Alligator mississippiensis: one gene and its partner. The protein of the gene in region 1 interacts with the protein of each later gene in a pairwise test. Links are inferred from orthologs where the notes say so. Each region holds a gene or a part of one and is shown in the gene's direction. Other genes may lie near its edges.

Region 1 (12,528 bases):
TCTGTCCTGCCCCCTGTTTCTTAACTCTAGTCTTTGGCTGCTGTTAAAACATTGTCCATGGTTGTTTTTTGACCTTGAAGAGCTCCATACAAACCCATGCTGAGCCTTGTTCAGCCCTTCTCCCAGCAGATCAGATACCCATCAAACAGCAAGCTGTAAGTCCTGATAGGGCCATTGAGCAGATCAGATACCCATCAAACAGTAAGCTGTAAGTCCTGATAGGGCCATTGGGGACTTCCAGCTTGGGATATCGAAGCCCAGTGAGGTTAAGTGACTTGGCTAGTGGTGAGAACAGAATCAAGGTTTCCTGATGCACTGACCCAGAATCTGCATAGAGGCCGAAACAAATGTGTAGTTTCCTCCCCTGTGGGTTTCCTCCCTTGCAGTGTTCAGCGTCATGTGGAAATGGCATTCAGATGCGGCAGGATTTCTGCCTCAACCCAAAGACCCACGAACATGTGAACCCCGTCTTCTGCCTGCGCTCCCCCAAGCCCATCACTGTGCGTGGCTGCTCAGCTGGCCCCTGTCCTAAGCCATCTGCTGCAGCCAAGTCCTCAGGGGAACCCCAGATGCCATCTTCATCCACAAACCTGCTGATGATGGCAGTGACTGTCTCTCCTGAAAAGCCAAAATATAAGGACCTGGATCTTCCTCCAATGGGCATGCCAGCCCCTCCACTGACAGGGTCTGAGGAAGATGCAGCAGGCATGGAGAACACTGCAGGAGAGTCCAGTTACGTGCTCACTGCATAAGGCTTGGTTCTCATGCATACTCAGGCAGGGAGGGTAGGAATACTCCAGGACTTAGCTCATACTCAGGCAAGAAGTGTAGGAGTACTCTGGGACTTCAAGAGAAGGTTAGTTTCAATTAATCCTCCAGAATTAGGACTCATTATCATTTAACATCCAATGATATTGGTTATAGACTCTGAATGAAGCCCTGCGGATACAGGAAAGCTCCTTGCCAGTGTGGTAGGATGGAAGCCCCAGGATGTAACAGGACATGGGGATGGACATGATGTTGGGAATGGGGCAGCTCTGCTTTGAGTGCAGTTGTTCATTGGCTTTGCTGCTAGGAAGGTCCCCCTTAGAACCGATCAGCAGGGAGGTGTACGCAGCTCCTTGGGATTTAGGTTTGCTCCATACTCGAGAGCTGGCACAGATTTATGGCCAGGCTCCTGGGGATCATACCCTTCAGATGCAGCCCTGGTGGCTTGCCTGGAAGAAGTGAGGTGTGAGCTGCCATGCCCTTTGCTGGGCTGTTTGGGGTCTCCAGGGTTCTCTGGCTGGCAGGCTCATCAGAGCTGGCACATTCTCACTGTGTACTTTGCATGGAGGTCATGCGTGCCATGGTATGGGAGTCCTTCAAAGAGCTGGTGAGAGACTACCTTGCAGATGCCAGGGGACCTAGGGTCTGAGCTCCATGTTTTAGCACTGGTATGTTACTTTGGGGGCTCTTACTCACCGGGGCCTCTGGCTTTGTTTGCGTTGTGCAGGTATCTGCGGGAGGCTCTTCCTCAACACCACGGGAGTCATCAACATGACCGGCCTGCAGGTCAATGACTGCACAGTCACCATCGGCCGTCCCCTGGGGGAAGTGGTAACAGTCAAAGTGCTAGAGAGCTCCTTAAACTGCAGTGCAGGTACGGTGCAGAGCTGGCTCATGGAGGAAAACTAGCCAGGCTCTTTCCCAAGTCTGTACCTGCTGCTGCTTCATGACTTCTTCACATGCTTTTTCTGACAGTCCAGCATGTCCCATTGCTGGTTGACCAGGGCTAGGCTGCTCTCAGCAGAGGGTCCCCAGCTGGGGAACTTGCTACTTCTGGCTCATGAGAGCCTGGGTATAGGAGCCAGAAGCACTGTGCAAGCCAGTGTTTTTTGTTTCTATGTTTTTCTGATTTCTTTCTTGCTTTATTCTGTCATGTCTTGTGTGGGACTTTCTCACTTTGCCCTGAAGATTTCATAATCCAGGTAGAGTCTGTCTCATAGGTAAACAGTGCACACACTTCTGCTACTGTGCAAACTTTTGTAGATATATTAACAGGGCTACTGGTATTAGGTTAGAATAAACTATAGTGTCGTGATGAATTTTGGATCCTGGTGGTTCCAGTCCTCAAGTGAGGTATAGAACCAGTGTCCTGATCCAGTCATGGCTCTTGAAGTTCCCATGTTACCCTTTTTAGCCCAAGACATTAGCTACATTCTCCTTGCCAGATTCCAGTGTGAACAGTGAGAGTTTCCTCATTAAACTCCCCCTTGAATTTCATTTGGATATGGGGGTTTTCTTCGCTGTGTGCCTTGAACTGCTGTCTAGTGCGGCTGTGTACTGTTAAACAGGTACTGCATTCTTCCCAGAGGTGGTTGCGTGTCAGTAGTTGGTGAAGTGATAACATTGATTTCTCCAGCAGTTTGTTAGATCAGGAAGCTGCTGTGAGGTTACAGCATTCCCTGTCCCACTTCCCATTCGTTACAGGAGAGATTGTGCTCTTTTCTGGGCGGCTGATGTGGCGGACTGGCTGTAGGAAGCTGACCATGGCATCTCTCAGCACCAGGACCAACACACTGATAGTGAGACAGCGTCTTGTGTTCCTGGGGAACGGCATAGTTTTTCAGTACAACAGCAAAGCTGCAACAAAAAAGCATTACCAAGGTATGTGGCTGGATGCTGCTCTACTGCTTTAGATTAAGGGTGATGAAGGCAAGGCCCATAGGCTTCCAAAGAGCAGTCCATGGAGAGGACGCACCTCTTCATGAAGTAGTAAGACCCATGGAGATACATAAGCTGCCTTGCTTGTGCCTTGAGATGCATATTTGAAATGCCCTTTCTGGACACATTTACTTTTCTTGCGTCGCTGCTTGCTGCCTCGCTGCTTGCTGCTCTGACCACCAGATCTCCAACTGCTTTCCTGCCCTCTCTCCTCCTCCCTCCCCACAGACTGCGATGTGCAGCTGTTCGGCTCTCGAGGAGAAATCGTGAATCCTGTAGAGTCTCCTGACCCCAGAAGACAAGTGGCCTGTCGCACCTTCATCACCGTGGCCCCACGGCATCGCATTGCCATTCGTGCCCTCTACACGGACCTGGGGCCTGAGAGCAACCACACATACTCCAGTTATATCTTGGTGAGTCACCAGGCTGAGGTGAAGCACACCTAAGGTCTCAGTGCCCCTCTTAGGTCCTCACAAGTTTGTGTTGAAATTCAGGGTTCAAAGCTCACTGCAAACCTGATGGGGTTAGATTCTGATCTCAATGGCATCAGTATAGACTTGAATTAATCCTATTGAGGTCTGTAGGTTCCAGCATCCAGCTCTGGCTGAGGGCGACATCCTGTCCTACAGGGCACCAGGTCCCCTGGCTAGTCTTCCCTTAGGGCTCCCATCCCAGCACAGATATTTCTCTGGCTGGAAAGATACAGGTAAGCGTGTAGTAGCGACTCATTCCCCTCTGTCTTCAGATACGTGATGTAAACACCATGAAGACAATCGTGTTCCATGGGAAACAGCTATTCTTTTGGGAGTCAACCGGGAGCCAGGCTGAAATTGAATTTCACGATGACTTCACAGAAGGCCACGGCAGTTTCCGAGCAGAGTACCAGGTCACTGAGCCCAGATAAGTGGGAAGCAGGGATGTTTCTGCCAGAGAGGCAGGGGAGCAGTGAAGAGCCCTGTCACTGATTCACCATGCGACTCCAGTCAAATCATTGAACTTCCCCACCTCTTTTTCACCATCTGTTTAATAGGTATAATAGTCTCTGCCTGCTTCCTAGGAGCACTCGGTTAATAAGCACCTTTGCAGTCCTGGAACACAAGGTGGTCTAGAGATGCCAGATATTACAAAATAGTTCTCATCAGTGGATTCCTTTTCAGCCTCTGCCAACTAGTACTAAGCCAAGGGTCCCCTGAAGCCAAGGGCTGGGGACACTGCTGCATACATCTCCTTCCTGTGATGTGATGCAATGCTGCCTTTTGAAAGAGGCCCCTCCTGTTCAGTGTCCCCTTATGGGAGCGTAGATCACAGCAGCTAGGGAAGGGGAACAAACTTTCCCGTCAGACACAAGCATTTTTGATTTTGGCCACGGCTGTGAATGAGCAGTGTGGAAAAAGCATGCAGTTTAGGGCTTTGGGTCTCACTCCAGCAGTGTTAAGGGACCTGATCAGTTTTACACACTTCACCGTCTAAAGGGGTCTTAAATATAAACAGAAATAAGGCCTCGTATGTCTGGAAGTAACACTCATATACCGGTATTTAGGAAAATAAAACCTTGGTGACAAAATCTGCCTGCTCAGGTGCATCCAACCTCTGCTTTTTGGGCCCATCTTTGCTCTACCACCCAGAAGTTTCAGAGGGCTGCTTTGTATTGATGACAGACTTTACAAAGTTGCTTATGTGTTACACATTTCTGTGCACTGAACTCTCCTGGCTTTTCAGCAGCCTGTCATTGGTGGTGTTGCTTTTGGGATTTCTCTGGGGGGAATGCAAGTTGGAAGGAAAAGAGAGAGGGCTGGTGTGTCAGCTGCACAGAGTTTAGGAGCATCCTCCTTTCTCAGGTTTTCCCTTTTTCCTTCCACGTGGCACATTTGTTTTTCATTATCTATTTTACTTCTGGTACAAGCCCTCTCTTGGTAAAGACTAAAGATAATGAAAGTTACCCCCATGGAGAGTAACAGATGGACACTGTAAGCTGCAATTAGCAGGGAAATTAAGTGTGACATCAGAAAGGCTGGTTACTCAGTGGAACATCAGCAATGAATATCTCCAAAACTACAGCACATATAATAATACGTGCAGTGGTACACTGGAAAGCCCTTGGAAGCTGTGTATGATCAGTGGTAACAGCAGTGAAAAGTGGTTTAGAGCAATGATAAATTCACCCTTGTCTTTGGTCGGGTAAGATTCCAGTTTGCTTTTAGAAGAATCCTCTTCAGCAGAAAAACCTGCTTACCTCGGGCTTGTTTTGGTCCAAAAAATCTTTTGACCTCACTGAAATCTTTTGACCTCTCTTTCCTGTGCAAAGCAGCCTTCTTCAGTGCTGATCTGAAGCTCTGCTGGGAATGGCTGCACCTTGCATTCATACCTAGTGAAATGTGGATGTTCCCCTTGGGGAGTTTTAGCCCTCTCCTTGTCTGCTTTCAAATGGATTCTGTGATGCCCTCTCAAAGCCCCAGATTCACAGCTTCCCATCTGTTCATGGTGCCTGTTTCTAGTGGTTAAGCCTGGATTTTTTCCAATCACTAGCCTCCAGCTTTACACTCAGTGACTGGGAGAGGAGGCAGAAAGGAAGTGGTCTGAACACCTACACCCCTATTGTAGTTGGAGTTAAAGGTGCCCAGCATGTGGATTCATCATCTGCTTCCCTGCATTTCATAGCATGCCCTGTTTACCCAAGAGCTTCAATAGCAGTGAGAGAGTATCCTCATCCTAGTCTGTTTTGTAACCATATCAGGCATGGAAGCTGCAATAGTGGCACTATCCAGTTCCTCCTCACCTGCCTTGGTTCCAAGTACTAGACACACTACAGTCCTGTGAGTCCAAAAGAGACTGTGTATGGTTCTTAGGACTACAACTACAGAACTGTATCTCTCCCTGTAGGACCTGTCTGAGATTTTGCAAACTATATACCTATTTTAGGACTAGGGAATGAGAAATATACTGGAATTAACTTAAGGGATGTGTCCTGAAAGAAAATCAGTATGTTACAGCAGAGACCAAGTAATCTAGGAGGATCAAGGCCATTTTCACTATATCCAATCCTATTACATTCCCACCTGAGGGAGTCTCTGACAAGTAGATTGCCACAACATCAGGGGATAAACCAGCACTGTTGAAGTCAGAGGACGCTTTCCTATAGACTGAGATGGAACCAGGATCTCACTCCTCATCTGAATGCACTTGGCCTTCTCTCTTTAATCTAAATCTTTCCCAGAGTGCCTCATTGCTTTAATTTCTGCATGATTGTAATAATCTATCTGTTGCCATCACACATTGACCTGTGACTGGAACATTGTCATCGAACACCAGAACGTCCCTTGAGACCTGAGATTTTGGTGCTCAGCTGTTGCAATTTGTTCTCTTGCTCAGAGCTAAACCTTTCCTTTTTTTATCTCTCTCCTCCATCATTATTAAGGAAGATCATCTCTGGAGCAGTTGGAGACTGGAGTACAAAATGGCCTTTGGGCAGAAACAGCATTGGAGATGTTATTTTTTGCCTCTGACATATGACATGTGCTTAACGCTGAGAGTCTAATATAATGAGCTGATACCAGGAGCTGGGGCTTAAGAAACCATCAGATAGCATGAGACTTGTGATGAAGGAGTTGGCAACACCACAGCTCAAAGGCACAGGCCAAAGGCCCCAGTGGCTAACGTGAAAGGGCCCTCACTGGTTTCCCTGCATTTCTTAAAACACCCTTGTTTACCCAAGAAATGCAGCAGCCACGGGAGCAGGAGGAGATTGTGAAAGCCCCATGGGAACACACAGATCCAAGTTCACAAGAGAGAGCAGCTTTACAAAACTGTCCCATCGGGTTAAATCCTGAAGGAGGGACCCTGTTTCCAAATGACTGAACTTAGATCTGGGAGTCAATGAACTTTTTATTGCCCTTGGAAAGAGTTGGTGTGAAGGGGGTGGCACTGTACCAAAGAGCAACCCACACCTGCTGACCGCACCTCGGGCCTCCTCCATCTCTGTGCAGGCACTCGCTTGGTCTGACAGGCCTGTTGCCCAGCCCTCTGCCTCTCCCGCATGGTTGTCCAGACAGGACAACTTGGTGATGAATGCAGGGGACCGTGCAGTCAGACACCTGGGTTCTGCTGGTTTTGCCGCAGACCTGCTGAGTGGACCTGGGCAAGTCACTCAGCCTCCGTCGTGAAGCAGAAGGGCAGCAATGACCACAGCAGTCTCTGCACAGCTGGGAAGCCTTCCCAGAGCCTTGTGCATGGGTTTTCAGCCAGGCTCATATTTACGGCAGTGCTGCAGGTTGGCACCGGGGAGCTCCTGTGTGGCCATGCAGGGGCTCACAGCTGCTCCCTCTGCAGCTCACCTGTGAGCAGGCATCCACCCAGGTGCGCTCGGATCAGGCCTCCCCGCACGCCTGCCTGCAAACGCGCCTGCCTTCCCGTGTACGCACGCAGACCTGCAACGAGCCCCTCCTCTGGGAGCTGCAGCTCATGAATATGTAGAGCCAAGGCCCGGCCTGCCTGGCTGCTTAACGAGGGGGCTGACATCAGAGCCCTCCCCCAAGGAGGGGGGCCCCACAATGCAGCGCGCAGGGCGACGTGGATCAGACTTTCCATTGTCAGCAGGAACAGAACAGCTGTTGAGGGGCAGGCGGGGGCCAGGCCGGCTCCATGGGGTGGTGGTGAGGGGCCCAGCAGCTGCGGCCCCCCTGTGAAGGGCTGTCACCAAGAGGGCAGGAGGGAGGGAGCATCCCCCACTGCTCTGCCTCAGGTGGGAAGCGGGGCAGCTCCTGGCCCTTGAGGAAGCCGGCTACCATGAGCTCCCAGGAGGACCAGTTCCAGCCGGCCCCCCCGGCCCCAGCTGACTCCAGCAACGATGATGGCATGACCTGGTGGTATAGGTGGCTGTGCCGCATCGCCGGGGTCGTCGGGGGCATCTGTGAGTATCCCATAGCCCTCGCTTCCCAGGGCGCTGCTGGAGCAGGCGGTTCCTAATCCATCCTGCTTCCTTTGCTTGCCTGAACTGGCGTGCATTAGGGCAGCCTGTTTTGCATGCTCAGGTGTGTGCACAAGGGTGGGAGCCGTGTACACACGAGTGCCCGGGGCTGGGGGCGAAACAATAGTTTGCAGCAGCAGTTTTGTGTCTCAGACAATCGAGGATCTAGAAGCAGGCAGTGACGGGGGCGTGGGCTGCGCTTTGGGATCGTCCAGCCTGCCCAGCACTTTCCCTGCAGGCAAGAACAGCATTGTGCTACACACACGTCTCTGCGGTTGTGTCCACCCCGACAAGGTCCCAGGCCCCGATCCTGCATGAGGGGGTGGGCAGTGATACAAAAGGGGGTGCCCAGGGTGCTGCAGGCAGGTGGCTGGATTAGGCCCTGTCAGTGTTTCCAGTCTGGTGCCTGGGCTCTTTTTACCACTGCCAGGTTGCTGATTTCCAGGTATTTTCTGCGTTGCTGCTGCTGCTCGTAGCGCGGGAAGAGTATTTCCGTGCGGTCGAGCAGGGAGGATTTTCCCTCGGAAGGGCTGGTTTGTTCTTTTCCTACTGAAGCGGACAAAACGAATAGGTCTCCGAGCCGTAAGGGGCCATCGTGTTTCCAGTCCAATCTCCTGCTGGAAACTGTCTGCAATTCTTGCGCAGAGCCCAATCATTTCTGGGAGAGTGAGTGTGTTTCTCATCGAAGCGGTGTGCACTTCGCTGTAACATTTCATCTCACTCCTTTCTCTGCCCTTACCCCCTTGCTTGGCTCCTGGTCTGGAGCTGCTTGGGCAAAGCTGCTGCCTGTTTGCAGCTGCCCTTGTGTGTGGTGCTACTGGGAGGCAGGTTTTTTGCAGTCTCTTTTGTTTGCATTGATCCAATGCCTAACGTAGACCCGAGAAAGTTCCTGGTGGAGGCTGGGGCTTCTGATCGGGCTGCACAGGGCACCACACCGGTTGGCGCTGAATTATTAGTGCTGTGAAAGGTTTTACTGGAATTGTTCCTATCAGGGGACATTGGCCCAGTGCACAGGGCTTAGTGGAAAGCCCTTGCTGCTTCCCCCGGTGCTTGCACGTCCCCAGGAAGCTGGCTGGAGAATCTCTCTTGGGTTGGGGTGGTAGGAAGCTGGACTCTTCCCCCAGCTCACGGTCAAAAGCCCCAGAAAGGCCATGAAGGGTGCAGAGCCAACAGGCTGTGGTTCCCATACGCCGACACTGTTGCACTCCCCAAGCCGTTCAGACTAGTGACCCAACTCCAGGTCGGGAGATCGGTTTAAAAATCATGAGTTGGGTTTGTTCCCTTTACCTCTGACAGGGACAGAAATTACACGTAAACCAGTATTAGTGATTGGAAACCGGTTCAAATCTGTAACACAATAGAAACTCAGTGCACTTAAACTGCTTTCAAAATGGCTGAAACCGGTTTAAGGTAAACTTAGATGGATGTAGTGTCTGACTTAACTGATTTAGGTTAAACTGGTTTATTGAACTTCTGTCCTGGATCCCCTCCACATTCAAGTTGACTCTCAGTTCCCCAGCATCCCAGGATGCTTTGCACCTCCCCTGAAAACCCAGTCCTTGCAGGGTGGGTGGCTCACTTTGGCCCAAGGTGTTTGCTCCAGCTTAGCAGGGTGGCATGCCCTAGCGCCCCCTAGCTTCTGGCCAGGGCCACTGCAGGCGTGTAGCTGCATTTCCAGAAGCAAAAGTGAATGTCTGTTCACTTGCTTATCGGTTCAATCTACGCAGCTTAGACTAACCTGCAAAGATTGAATCGATTCAGCCTTGTGCTCTTTGACTGTCTACACTTAGCCCTGGTGCCCGAGCCCTTGGGGCCCACTTGGCTTATACTGCCAAGGTTTTCTGTGCAACCAGGCAGGTGGGGATATTGTTCTGAACCTCTGGGAATTGCTTCTTCTCGCGCTTTTGCTCAGCAAGCAACAAATCCACCAAGCAACTCAAAGGCAATTTGATATCAGGATTCAAGAACTGGCCTATAACAGGAAGAGTGGTTCCCTGAGCCCTCTGTGTTACCGCTGACCTCGTTTCAGGGTCTTCCTCCCTGAGTGTCACACCGACAATTGCTGGAGAAGACTGGGCTATATCTCCAGTTTTTATGGGTTGCCAAGTGTTGAGTCCACTCCCTAGGATGCTCACTGGTTGTATCTGGGTTGCTAAAAGGATCATTGTATCCTGATGAGGCCACAGTCATTCTTGGCATAACCTGCTGTAACTTCAGTGGAGTCATGATTGCTGATGCCGGGGCAGAGGTTGGCTCATACGCTGTAGCCAAAAATACACTATAGACAGAATTGCCTGGTGCTTGGAGAGGGACTTGGGTGACCCTGTTTTTATTCCCAGCTCTGCCACTGACTGACTGTGGGACTTGGGCAGGTCACTTTGTAACACAGAGGTGATTTCATTGAGATACTTTTGTACCGTACTTTGAAACCTTGGGCAGAGAGTACCATAGAATATGCGTGAGAGCAGGCCTGCCACGTGGGCTGTGAGGTGCAGTGAGCCTTTCTGCCAGGAGTCCCATTTCAGCTGCACATTTATTGCTGAGTTTTCTTAGTGACTCAGCCCGGGACAGAGATTAAATAAATAGCCAACCAGGCGAATGGTCTGACTCCTCTATTACGGACATGCCCTTACTTTAAAAGCCTCTTTGTGGCCTGGCACCATGAAAGGCATCTGAGCTGATGGCTGCGGTTCCATTTGGACTTCTCCGGCAGGATTCAGTAAACCTCCGGTAAGGCAATAACACATTGGGGTGCTTTGGAGGGCTCCTGTGCTGCAGAAATGGAGACAGTGAAGGTCACTGAACCACTGTCTCAGTGGCTGTTGGCAAACGCCGTGGTGCGCGGTGTTTCGATGATTGCATATCACTGACTCAGTTCCCAGCAAATGCAAAACACCCATCGTGCTGATTTCAGGAACAAGAGAACTGTTTGGTCAGTGCTACTGCTTGATTGACCCTTGGCCTCGATGGAAGGGATACAGAAATATTTTGCACGTAGACTTTGTCTTAGGAGAGTCGTGGAGTTTTTTTTAGGTTCCCAGAAAAAAAGAGCCCTTAATTTTTAATGTCTTTGGAAAGATGCAGGGAAGGAAGCGATACTCGCGGCAGTCAGCCCAGATTTATGTTGAGAAAAAGACGTTCTGCTTCTTCCTGTGGTTCAGACTGGAGTTGGGATCCTTCTAAAAGTCCTTGCCTAAAAAGTTCCTTGGTGTTACACTCAGCTGTTAAGCCACTGCCATGTTTCTCCCCAAGAGGTAGCTGCATTTCAGTGAGGGGTGACATGCTCCCTGTTGCTAGCTAGTCTGGAAGTGCTTGGAGATGGCTTACGTAGGTCCTAGTGAAGGTCATGGGCTTGTCTTTAGGGGCAAAACTTTGATTCAGATATTTGCCCCTCTCTTCTGCTCATGCATTTATCCAGTAAGATCAGGGAGGAAGGTTACTAGCTGTCTGCCGTGTCCTTCCCTGCAGAGCAGCAGCTGGCCCCATGAACCTGGCCTGTGCTGCTCCTTGCAGTGGGAGTGAAGTCCAGGGCCTGCTGGCTGACCGTGGGCAAGGTACTTGGAGCTCTGTGCCCCAGTTCCCCCCCGACTCTCTTTCTGAAATGAAGCAAATCACCCTGCCCTCTTTTTAGGAAGTGCTTGGAGACTGAAGGGTGAGGAGCACTATGAAAGGGTTGTCCCTATGTCTCCTTTGCCTTCCCTGCTATCCTGGCTTCACATCTTACGATTGCCATCTTTGGACTGAATACCCCTAAACCCCGCTCTTGTCCCCAAACTGGAGGAGTGGGCCTCCCTGCCGCTGACTTGCTGTGTGCATTCAGGCAAGGTACTTCATCGCTGTCTGTACAAAGGATCCTTAACCTGCTTTTCGCCCCTCACTACAGAAAGGATGTGGACAAATTGGTGAGAGTCCAGTGGAGAGCAACAAAAATGGTTTGGGGGCTGAGGGCCATGACTTGTGAGGAGGGGCTGGGGAAACTGGGCTGATTTAGTCTGGAGAAGAGAAGACGGAGGAAGGATTGAATAGCAGCCTTCAACTCCCTGAATGGTCTTTCCAAAGAGGATGGAGCTGGGCTGTTCTCAGTGGTGGCAGATGACAGAACAAGGAGCAATGGGCTCAAGTTGCAGCAAGGTTAGATATTTGGAAAATATTCTCACTAGCAGGGTAGTAAAACACTGGAACAGAGGTGGTGGAGTCTCCATCCTTGGAGGTGTTTAAGACCCAGCTAGGTAAAGCCCTGGCTGGGACGATCTAGTTGGAGCTGGTCCTGCTTTGTGCAAGGGGCTGGACTAGATGTGACCTCCTGAGGTCCCTTCAACCCTTATTGTCTATGCTCCTATGAATGTCTGAGGTTTCACTAGCGATGGCCCTCAAATTTGTCTCCCTTCTCCATCCCTGGAGCCACTTGGGGAATGACAAACATGGACTCTATTGAAATACCTTGTTCTGAGATGGTTTTGTGTTCTGACATACATGACCCAGTCACCTGCATTATGTAGGCACCGGAGGCATACCAGCACTCCCCCTGCCCATGCCACCTTTGCAGTCCGTGCTGTTTAGTTGCAGGTTTTGTCAGGTTATTACGTATTATTGAGCTGGTCCTGCTGCAGTATCCCACTGTCCCTCCCCCACCCGGGGCTCAGATTCCTCCTGTGAATAACTGGAGGCTCTTGCGGTCAACGGAGGAGGATGGTAGTATCGGATGCAGGGAACTTTTGCAAGTTTAATGAGCTGCAAGGTAAGTGCGTGCTCTAGTGCTGGCTTCAGAGCTGCTGGCATTACACATTCAAGGCCTCCAGTGTTATTTTGGGTCTCACTTTGTCAAATATATGCTTCCATGCCTATGAGACGGGTGGAGC
Region 2 (12,011 bases), on another chromosome or scaffold:
GGCTGATGGAGCGCACCCAGAGAGTAGTGGTGGACGAGTTGTACTCAACCTGGTGAGACGTGAGCAGTGGGGTACACCCCAGGGCTCGGTCCTCGGGCCCGCACTGTTTAACATCTTCATCAGCGACTTGGACGAGGGGGTGGAAAGCACGCTGTCCAAGTTTGCTGATGACACTAAGATGTGGGGCAAGGTGGACACGCTTGAAGGGAGAGAGAGGCTGCAAACAGATTTAGACAGACTACCAAAGTGGGCAGACAAGAATAGGATGGGGTTCAACATAGACAAATGCAGGGTGCTGCACCTTGGGAAAAGGAATCCACAGCATACATACAGGCTGGGGAGTTCCCTTCTTGAAAGCACAGAGGCGGAAAGGGATCTCGGAGTCATTATTGACTCCAAGATGAACATGAGCTGCCAATGCCAAACCGCAGCCAGCAAGGCTAGCCATACCTTGTCATGCATCCAAAGGTGCCAGCCATACCTTGTCATGCATCCAAAGGTGCATCTCAAGCCAGTCCAGAGAGGTGATACTCCCCCTCTATGTGACTTTGGTCAGCCTGCAGTTGGAGTACTTTGTCCAGTACTGGGCACCGCACTTCAAAAGGGATGTGGCCAGCCTGGAGAGGGTTCAGAGGAGGGCCACCCGCTTGGTGAGAGGGCAGCAGGACAGGCCCTACGAGGAGAGACTGAAGGACCTGAACCTGTTCAGCCTCAGCAAGAGGAGGCTGAAGGGGGACCTGGTGGCTGCCTACAAGCTCATCAGGGGAGATCAACAGCGAACAGGCAGAGCTCTTTTCTCCCCAGCACCACCCGGGGTGACAAGGAACAATGGTCATAAGCTGATGGAGAACAGGTTTAGGTTGGAGATCAGAAGGCAATATTTTACAGTTAGGGTGGCCAAAATCTGGAATCAACTTCCCAGGGAGGTGGTCCTCACCCCTACCTTGGGCATATTCAAGAGGAGGTTGGATGATCATCTGTCTGGGGTCTTGTGAACCCAGCATTCATTCCTGCCTGTGGCAGGGGGTCAGGCTAGATGATCTGTTCAGGTCCCTCCTGACCCTAGCTACTATGATACTATGAAGTAAATCCCCTCCCTGGCCAGTTCACTCCAGCCTACTACCAGGGCTGGCCACGCCCCTCCAGCACACCTTCCCTGAAGCCAAGGATGCACTCTAGTGCAGTGTTTCCCAACCTTTTATGCCCCACGGCACACTTACCTAAATAAAAAAGCACCGTGGCACACCGGACACAGAGTGGGGAGAGGGCACGTAGCCAGCCAGACACGGACCAGGAGGGGGAAATGCACAGCCATCCAGACACCAACAGTGGGGGCGTGGCGTGCAGCCAGCCAGACAGCGACATGTGGGTGACACACGGCCACCCAGATGGCATTCTGGGCTGGAGCTATGCTCCCAGTCTGTCCATGTCCACAGCAGCAGCAGGCGGGGGAGGGGGGGGAATAGCTCTAGACAGGCAGGGGGCGTGGCTTCAGCCCCAAATGCTGCGGCACACCTGGACTTGCCTGACAGCACATGCCGCATTACACCGCTTGGGAAACGCTGCTCTTGCGCCCTCCAGCTCGTGCCCTGAGTGACTTCAGGCATGTGCCTGCATTTCCTCAATCCAGAGGGAATATCTTTTCAGTCACAAACTGGTTCAATCTAGCCAGGTTAGACTAACCTGCAAAGATTGAATCAATTCAGGCTCCAGGTTTTTGAATGTCTGCGCCTAGTCGAAATTCTGTTGCTGTCACCCTGTACCTGCTCTCCAGTCTTGCCCATGCAGTTCAACTATCCTAAGGGAGACGTCCCACACAAACTCTTTGCTGTCTACCTTTCAATCTCTTTTTGCACCCTGCAAAAGTGACCATTAGAACAATTATTCTGAATGGGAATGCTCTTTTGAAAAATAAAGATTGATTTTTTTTAGTTCACCTTGGCATGCAAGTCATCTGTATTTCTGTCTGAATACATTAAATGACTATGTCTAAGCCAGGGTCCCATTAAACAACTGATTCCGGTTGACTGTCCTTGCTCTTTTTCCCCTAACATTTTACATTAGTCAAACTGACAGCAAAGTCTTCCTGACTCTTAAACTTTGAGGCTAAAAGAAACAATTATAATCAACTACTCTGATACCCTGAAAAAAATTCCCCTCAGTAATTTCTGCATGCATCAAGCTGATGGCTTCTGGCTGAACTAGAATATATCTTGTAAAAAGATGCTCAATCAGGATGTAAAAACTTCAGCGACCTTCCTCTCCCTTGTGCTACAACCTCTTTGAACTGCTGGTCCAAAGGAGGCACAACCATTTTATTCAGCTGGGGAATCCGCAGGAAGCAGAGCTAGCAAAGCAGTTCTGTATCACTTGCCTTGCCCCCCACTCCCATTATCTGAATGTGACCAAGCTAAATGGTGGATTACTGGAGTGTAGCTGTATTCCAGCCACCTCCAACTGCTGGGATGTCCCCTTTGGTTGCTCAAATTTACAAGGGCTGAATCAGCCACCAACATGAAGCAGAATCAATAGCACAAAGGTGGTGCATTCCCCCTTTGCTTTTGTATTGACCACAGTTCAATTTACCCTGAGGACTGAGACTCTCTTTTATGACCTCCCTGTAGATGAATTTGGAGAATGAGGATGGTTTGTAGGAGGAGGCCTTTGCGCATCAAGCCATCTTTTCTTTTTAACCGCCTCTTCATAGTACCTATGTCTAGGAAGCTGGGTTCATACTGTTTTTTGTATTCGGGCAAAAGGCTGCTAACACTGGGTAACAGGCTTGTTTTTACTGGCCCAACTCCCATGCACACACAGAGATGTCTAGCTCATCTTACCCAGGGCTTTGAACTCAAGTTACCTTACCTGGCATAGATGAAGCTCAGGCAAGGCTGCAGCTCATGGTAGTGGCAATTCAACTTTTCTGTGAGGACAACACAGGATGGCTAGTGCAAACACTTTACTTTTAATCCAGTCACACTTTGCAACTCAGGTGTTTGTTTTGCTGCATGACTACTTTTAGTTCTGCTTTCCTAAGTAGAGGGGAGTTAACTTCAGCACAGAGAACTCAGGTTAATGCTGGAAACAGGACAATCTCAATTAAGACATAATTATTTTAACTATTATTCCTCTGCATACAGCAACCAAGAGGTTTAAAGATTTAAAGTTTGGATGCTTATCTAGCTAAGGTGATCTGACCCCAGCTGACTTCCTGCCCCTGGGCCAGGGGGCTGGACCTGATGATCCCGCAAAGTCCCTTCCAGCCCTAATGTCTATGAAAGTTAAATAAATTACAGAAACTATTTTTTATTGTTTTGCAAAAGCAAAAAGCAGTTGTTTCTTTTGGAAAAAAGGATTTCTAGCAAAAAGAACAATTGTGAATACTTGTAAAATACGTCTCATCTTGATGTATGAGACCCTCAACACCAGTTACTTCACTTTTTTGGAAATAATCTACCATTTCAAGTTTCCATATCAATCTAAACACAATAGGGTCATTACAGTTTACTGTGCCATTATCCTTGGGTTATATCAGGGCCTGTGAAGACAGTCAATTTCACTGATTGAGATTTTGTTCCTTGCTTTAAAAATATCCAAAAATAAACAAATAAAAATGGAAAACCAAAGCTGAAAATCAGAATTGTATATACTCTAGTATCCCAAGCGAGACTATATTATACTGTTTACTGAGATTCTTACTGTTAGCTTTCCTCTCTCTGGGTGTTTCTTGCTCTGTATCTTTGGGACCAGAGCCCAAGAGAACCAATGGACAAAAATCTGAGCTGAGTTGGAGACTCATCCTACAAATTCACCAGAAGGACAAATGTTTTCACTCGTGAAATACCACACAGTAGATGCCTCTAAGGGCAGAGGTTCCATTTACCTCCAAATGAAATGATTTATAAAGCTTTGTTTTACCTTAACGAGACTGTTGCAATCCAAATTAAACACACAACATCCACTGTTTTTTTCCAACATGCAGAGAGCATCTTTAAAGAACTGTACATAAAAAGGCCTTTACTTATGTTACTAATAATCCACTCAATTATTAATGCCCCAATCCACAGTGGAGCAGGATCAAGGCACAAAATGGAAATAATTTCAAACAGCAAGTTTACTTTTTGCCATCTGGGTTATTACTTACTTTTGCATGTCGTTCAACTTGGAAAATTAAACTAAACTGATCAGTTGCAGATAGCAGAGCATCTGTTTCATTGTCCCGTTCGCCTGCACTTAACACAAACAAGCATCAGAGCATCCTGTTAAACACTACTGAAGATTTTTTTTAATCTACCCCCCACACACACTAGTCTATTTCCATTGCCCCTTTTTTAAAAAACTAATGAAACCATTAATATTTAATTGGGTGGCACCAATTAAAAAGGCTGATCAAAAGTAAGCATGAGAAAAAAATGTTCTAGTTTCTTGAGGTAGTCTCATCAACATCACATTTCTGTACAGCAAAAGGAGCTAATCTACCTGAAGCGGTTCGAGTTTTGCACGCGACAGCGGTTTAATGATCTTTAGCCACCTAGTAACTACGATTTCAATATGCTGTATACCAGCAGTTCCCAATCTGTGGTATGCGTACCACCAGTGGTCTACAGACAACCTGTCAGTGGTACATGTTAACAGATTTATTATAATTATTTTACATGACAAAAATTTGCTGGTGGTACTTAAGGTTGTATCATTTTAAATTGGTGGTGCGCAATCTGTCAGTTTGGGAACTGCTGCTATATATCATAACTTAGTGGTTCTCAACCTTTTTAGAGCGCCCCTCCATATATTTTGTGAACAGCACCCTGTTGTAAAAGCTAACTTATTTATTACAGTGCTTTACCTCCTTGCCAAGGGGCTGGGCAGCAAGGCCAGGGGAACAGCCAAGCAGGGACTGTGCCTGATCCTGTGCTTACCTGTTTATCTCCTCACATCTACATCCTTCAAAGGATCCCTGGGTGTCCCTATGCCGTAGCTGAGAATCACTGCCACAACCACCAATTCGCTGCCATCAATTCACAGCAGCCGAAGAATGAGTTCTCACACCCTCCTGTTCCAAAGGCGGAAACTCCTGTAGCTGCAGGACACGTAACTCAGCAAGCAATCCCGTGGACACCCAGCAGCAAACAACAATTGATTTACGGTACAAGCCAGTCTGTTCTTACAATAGCATACAAACTCCCGTAGCCAAAACTTCCCACGCTATATCAGCATTACAATATCCTGGTGCTTTATAAAAAGGTGGGAATCTAAACTTTTTTTTTTTTTTAAATAACGTTGTACTCTTAAGTGCTGTAGATAAACACTCGACATGATCAGCACTCCCTAAAGGCTCAACAACCAAAGTACTACTAAAATAAATCCTGACTGCGTTCGTTGTTAAAAGTCTCATCGCTTTATGCTGCTCTGGGAACCCGACTCCTGAGTTTCGACTGGTTGAGCGGGGTTACTCCGTGCACTTCTGTTTGGCAGGGCGCCGTCCGGTGTCCCCCGCAACGGAGCGGGCGGCTTTCCTTCACCCCAGTGTGTACAGCAGGACGAAGCCATAGCCCACCGCAGGGATCCTCCCCTCCAGACCTATCGACCTGCTTCTCTCCAGCCCACTTGCCAGAGCTGCCATCCTCCCAAGCGCTGTACAACACATCCCAGAGGCACCTGCCCTGGGCCAAGTGCTGCAGGCAGGACGCACCCTGCGGCTCGGGGCAAGGATGGGCACCTCCAACCCGGGCGGCAGGGAGAGGCACAGGCTGGTGCCAGGGCCCAGTGGGGGATGGGGACAAGCCAAGGGGCAACACCAGGGCGGGGCCGAGCCCGTCGCACGCCGGGCCATGGGCGCGCGGGGCGCCCCTGCCGGGCCGGAGCCGCCCGCTCCCCCGCGCGCAGCAGCCGGCGCGGGCAGGCGGAGGCGGAGGCGGAGGCGGAAGCGGGAGGAGGCCGCGTCTCCCTCAGCCTTGCCCAGGCCGCCGCCGGCTGCAGCAGTCCCGGCCCGGCGCCGAGGTAGGAGCCGGCGCTGCCCGCGGGGAGCGGGGGGGATGGCGGCGGCCGCCGCTCCGCCTCCTCCTCGCGGGGCCTGGGGCCTCCTCCCGCGGGGGACGCGGGCAGCGCACGGGCGACTCGCGCGACTAAACCGGCTCGGGGCGGGCCCGCCTCCACCCCCCGCCCCGGCCTGGATGGGCCCGGCCGCTTGGCGCGGTGGGCGCGGGGCTCGTGTCCGTGCGGACAGGCGGGGCGGGGGTGCAGGCGCTGGGTGTGGTTTAACACGAGCCATAAACGCAGTTTTAGGTCCTTGAAGCGGCCTGCAGGGTCCCTCCTCCCGCCTCCATTGTCTCTGTCCTCCTTGTTGCAGCCCCTGAGCAAAAGGGAAACCCGCGCTGGGAGCCTGATTGTAGCGCCAGGGCCCACAGCTGCGACATGAGGTGTCTGGTCTGTTCCCTGTAAGCGCGCTGCTTGAAGCGCCCGCAGGTCAGACTTCAGGACGAAAAGTGGTCTTCAAGTTGATGCTGCCCCCCTTAAATTTTTGGACCTTGGGGAACTGGGCACTTTTTTTTTTTTTTTTTTATGAATAATTACAAGATTGAACCGATAAACTGAGAAGGCAAGAAGCATGTTTATATTCAGGGGGAAAAATGTAATTTTTTTGTACTTGAGGGCAATGTAAGTGAGGTGTTGAGGAACTGGAATGACTGGATTGAAATGTTTTGTAATATGTGGCCTAGATTTTATAGGACGCGCTGAAATCCATGCTCAGCGTCTTTCTCGTTCCTCTGATTTAAATAAGAAAATACTGTTCCTCTAATTATACACAAGCCTGTCAGTAACTTCACTTCAATTGTTAAGGAGGTCGAATGGCCAAGCTGGCACTGATCATCCAGAAGAAGGTTCAAGAACAACCCTGAAGGCTCCAACATGTCAAAAGAAATGCAAGAGCTGCAGAAGCAGTGGCGCTTCATGATGAAATCCATCCACAGCAACTCCAATGTGGGTTTCGGATTCGATTATTATTTGATAGAGTGTGTTTACATAATGCTTCTCCAGCTGTCTTTGCTTGGATGTCACACCTCATTTTATGATAAGGATATAATTACAAAAGTCACATTTGAATTTTTCATCATGAGAAAATTAGATCCCCTCTTTTTCTTTCTTTTTTTTTAAGAGGGCATGGGGGAGGAACAAGCCACCATAACGTATTTTTAATTTAAAAGCATTTCTATGGGATTCATTAAAGTAACATCTGAATGGCTCACAACAGGCAGTAAACATTTATCCCCATTTTACATACAAGGAAACTTGAAGCATAAATTTGGAATTCAGATATAGTAGTATGAAGTTTTAAGACGTGTTGTATCTCTTTAACTATATAAATATAATTAAGATAATAAGTATAATTAAAGCAATACAACTTTGTAGTGTAGATCCATCTGTGGAGTCCTTAATGTTCAAGGGAGGGCAATTTATGGATCTGCTGCTAACCTATAGTCCCTGAAAACAAATTGTTTTTGCACCTGTTTTAGTGTGACCTTAGTACCTGGCCTGTTATATGACTTTCAACATTGAAACAAATGTTAATCACTGGATTAAAAATTACAGTTGGTAAAAACCCCATACGCTATAGACTTGCATACTTCATTTACTGTTAGTTTTTTACTGTTATTTATAGCATGGTTCATCTGTATCACATATATTTAACAGAATATCTTTTGTAAACTATCTTATGCTATTAGTGAGGACTCCTGCTTCCACATTGATTTTTCCCCCTTTGTTTTCAAGTACCATTATGTTCTAGCTTCTAAATTTAGGTGTACTAAAATACATTTGATTTAGCAAAATAGATTATATATCTCCACATCTGCTTTGACATGTGCTGCAAAACTATTTCCTTGATATGCCACTCGTGATAGAATTTGTAAGGCATTCGTATACAAGGATGGTGAGTACAGTGCAAATATGTACCAAGCCAGACGGTTCTCCGTGCTTCTGACATTGTGCAGCCATTGCCTATAACACGAATTAATCACTTGTGTACTTACACAATTATTGTACCCAAAATTTCATTAAAGTAGTTTAAGATCATAAAAGATTTATGAAGCAAACACCTAATCTAATTCAACTTTTCTTCTTTCAATCCCCTACAGGTTGTTGCTTTTATGAACTCTCGAATTGGCCAATACTTAGATGATCATCCTTTTGTTGCCTTGTCGCTGTTGGTGTTTATTGCAGTTTCTGCTATTCCTGTTGCATTCTTTCTGATGTTTGTGGTTGCAACAGCTGTCATGGCCTGTATTGGAGTTATAATCATGGAAGGTATTTTATTTATTTTCTTTTCCTCCCCTTTTAAGCCTTTTTTTATTTTCAGGATTTTCCTTTCTCTCCCCTCTCTCATGCCCAGCTCTTGATCCAACTGAATTTAAAAGATTTTTTCTGAAGTTCTCAGCTTTCAGCATCAACAAAAGTCTTAATGCTGGAATAATAATCTAATTAAAAAAGGAAATAGGATTTCCCTGTCTTGGGTACAGTTAATCCCAATGCGGATGCTGTTAAACCTCTTATCTTTGCCTTGGATAGCTTTCATCTCTGGCCTGCAAGGAGATTTACGAAGAGCATGTTGTGTGGGATTTTTCCTTTTAGATGATAACAGATAGCATGTACTGAAACTTCTCTTCTGAAGTATACCTCCACATACCCTGTCTTCCACCAGCTATGTGGGCCTAATCATTTACTTCACCCTAATCCAAGGAAAGGTCACTGTGGGCCAGAGGATCCACCTGGGAGAACAAATAAGAGGCCAGCATCTAGTGTAAGAGGAATGCACATGGCTGTAATGGCTGTAGTACCTTTCCATGGTGGAGAAGGACAGCTAGGGAGGTCCAGGCCAATGCAGATTTAGAGGATTCATGTCTGAGTCCCAGAGATGCTAAGCCTCTGTGCTGAAGCTCTTAGCCTCCTTCGATCCCTGGAGACCTGAACAAAGCCTGCTAAAAACAAACATCACTCCTCAAGACTGATCAGAGAAAAACTCTGTAGGGAGACTGCCTCTCCTTTAGGGGATGTCATACAACTGGGGACCTTGGGTCTTTGACCTGCATTGTGAACAGAACTAATGTGCACTTTTAAATTACTGCTGGTCTGAATTTAGGATTGCAGTAGACCTGCAGCGAATACTTTCTTTGTTTTCAATATGTACTTGATGTACAATAGTATGTACAGTATTCATGCAAGTAACAAATTGGTTCTTCCTTGCTAGGTGTTGTAATATCAGCAGGTGGAATAGCTCTTCTTTGTGTGCTGGGTGGCCTAGGGCTGCTTTCCTTGGCAGTTTCTGGAGTAATGAGTATTTGTTATGTAGCGTTTACAACTCTGATCAACTACTGGTACACTCCAAAGTAAGTATCAACATTTCACTCTGTACAATAATGTCACATTTTAACTGTAGTTGCACATACTACCTTGTATGTTAAGCAGTGGATAATTTGTTGCTTGGAGTAATAATAAACATCAGCTTTGAATATTACAGTATTTCTGTTTACCCTGATAAGACTTAATATTGGGACCTTCAGACCCTGTTTTCTTTGTAAGGAAAAGGAGGAAGAAATAGTTATCAAGTGTGTCTTGTGTAAGTCTAGAAATAGACATCACCAGTGAAGTGGCTATGTCCCAGCACAGCTGATCTGCTTTACTGGGTGAAGCACACAACACCCGTTTTCCCACCTCTTGATCTTGCCCTGCTTGTAAAGACATGCCCCCAGCAATCTCTGGGGTTACCAAAGATTGTCAGGGGTACATTAAGCCAGGACACTCCAGTACAGTCCCAGGGCTGGGCTTCCAATTAGCTGATTCGCAGTTTCAACCCCTGGCCCCCAGCAGAGCAAGTTCCATACTCTGGTGAAGTCCCAGGGACAGGATTGCCAATCAGCTAATTGGCAGCCCCAGCCCTGGGACTGCATCAGTGTGTCCCGGCTTTCCCTGCTTGCAGAAACATACCCCCAGCACTCTCTAGGCAAGTCTGTAGAAGCAACGGAAGTTGAGGTTCCTATTTCCAGAGCCTCGCCATGGAGATTGCCAAGGGCACGTGTCTGAAAGTGGGTAAAATTAAGTAGGTGCTCCCTGGTCTGGAGGGGCCTAATTCTGTGCAGGAATTGGCAGGGTATACAGGATCAGGCTCTTCAAGCCCAGGAAGTGCCTGCCCAGGGCAGTGGGAGAGCACAGGCTGCTTTGGGCTGTCTGCACTCTCCTGTCATAAAGCAAATCGATGTCGGCTGTAATAAATAGTACAATTTATTACTGCCTTTAATTGCTGCTGCCTTATGGCATGATGGATGCCTGTTTGCTGTCTCTTTGTGCCACTGTAAATATTTGTATGGCTGCACAAAGCGACATCTGTTTCTACCCTGATTAACTTCATTCTGCATTAGTAAATACAAACAGTTAAAATGCTTTACATGGTAATGGCCTAGCAAAGTTCAGAGACTGCTTTAGATTTTAAGGGTGTGAATGTGCTAAATAGAAATGAGTTAAACCACTTTGAAGAAACACAATTACAGGAATGTTTTCTTTTAAAAGAAAACAAACTTATCTACTAAAACTTTTATTTCTCCCTCAGCTTTCTAGAAACTCAGGTACAGTTTTAGCAATGGGTCGGGTTTCAATCATTTGACATTAAATTTGCAAGTCCTACAACATCCTTGGCATTTTTACTGTTACTAATTCCTTAAATTACTAAAGCTGAAGAAACTTGAATAACTAAAAGGCCTGTTACATATGTATGATTTGTCTTTACTTCCTACACTTATCACCTCAAAAAAAAGAAAACAGAATAATTTTACTTTGTTTATAGCCAGATTTGCTTTATGGTTCTCCCACATTAATACTATTATGCAACATTTGTGTAGCAGTTACTGTAAGACAATATCTATTTGAAAAACAAAACATTTTAGGAGCATTATGGAGGAATTTACTAGTCTTAGGTTTTGTAAAATTTATCATTTATATTTATGTTGTAATGTATATCTTGGCTGAAGTTAGTCTGAGAGGATTCCTTCTAACCAGCTAGTCATCTTTTCCCAGCATGCAACCTTGAGAGAGGAAATATTTGAGCCCAGCTACTCTACAAATGCAACTAAGTCAGGACTCATAGTGTCAATCGGACCTTGACCACATTCTGTAATTAAGCCAAAGCCTTCAGGGTCCCACAGAGTACAGTGAAGGTCCTGGCTATACAAAAACAGGAATCATGTTTTTAACTGAGTCTGGAACAAGTGCATTGTAAGTGGTCCAACAGACTGTATTACCTATATATTTAAATGAGGGCAGTCATGTTTACATGTGACATATCTTTGTGAGGATTGCAAATAGCCTGCTTTTATTACTACTCAAAAATAGCTCTATCCAGTAGCACTTTGGCTCCAAATCACCCTTTCTGGGGAGACATGATAAAGGGAGGAAACCTTTCAGATCCCTTCTCAGTATTTTTCCTGAGTTTGTTCCATCAGTACAGCAGTGCCTCTTCTACGTACCCCACCCATGGATCTTATGAGATTTGCAGAAACAAAAGGCTACTATGCCTCTTCCAGAAGATTTCTGAACATTTAGCAAAGTCTACTCAAAAAGCGATATGTCTGTTAGTCTTCATGTTGCTCGGCTTAGTCTTGGTGAGAAAGCAAAACCTTTTGTGAAAGCAAAAGGCAATAAAAAATCATTGTTCTATTCTACAGAAGTCAAGCAATGGATCAAGAAGCAAATGGAAATGGTTTCTCACTGAACAGTTCTCCCAACTCTGACCCTTCTGTCAATAACAAGAGCAAATAAATGGGACCTTTCCATCTTCTCTGATATGCCTTGATTGTTCAGTTCTGAATTTAGACATTTTATTCATTTACCTGTTGAATAGTCAAGTTTTGTGTGAAGTTTGTGGAAACAGAATCAATATGCATCTTTGGTTGTCACTGTAAAATGGTGTAAAATGAACAGTAACTCATCAAGAGTCAGTGCGTTGTGATAGTAAATGTACAGACCCT

Evidence for each region.
Region 2: the proteins of CACFD1 (region 1) and LDAF1 interact in binary tests that used the Homo sapiens proteins (3 or more experiments, as listed by UniProt). The two-hybrid records come from large-scale screens. The link is inferred for Alligator mississippiensis from reciprocal best matches to the Homo sapiens genes CACFD1 and LDAF1.

What each region holds. Positions count from the first base shown.
Region 1 is NC_081835.1:60,948,428-60,960,955, forward strand, and holds the start of CACFD1 (calcium channel flower homolog), read left to right. Parts: upstream 1-7,256; 5' UTR 7,257-7,488; coding exon 7,489-7,612; intron 7,613-12,528. Other genes in the region: ADAMTS13 (A disintegrin and metalloproteinase with thrombospondin motifs 13), read left to right, coding at 387-732, 1,496-1,642, 2,473-2,649, 2,935-3,119, 3,452-3,610. UniProt on the Homo sapiens protein: Transmembrane protein which mediates synaptic endocytosis and fitness-based cell culling.
Region 2 is NC_081836.1:46,232,196-46,244,206, forward strand, and holds the start of LDAF1 (lipid droplet assembly factor 1), read left to right. Parts: upstream 1-5,906; 5' UTR 5,907-5,997; intron 5,998-6,476; exon of another isoform or gene 6,477-6,595; intron 6,596-6,837; 5' UTR 6,838-6,906; coding exon 6,907-6,978; intron 6,979-8,132; coding exon 8,133-8,301; intron 8,302-9,241; coding exon 9,242-9,380; intron 9,381-11,708; coding exon 11,709-11,802; 3' UTR 11,803-12,011. UniProt on the Homo sapiens protein: Plays an important role in the formation of lipid droplets (LD) which are storage organelles at the center of lipid and energy homeostasis. In association with BSCL2/seipin, defines the sites of LD formation in the endoplasmic reticulum.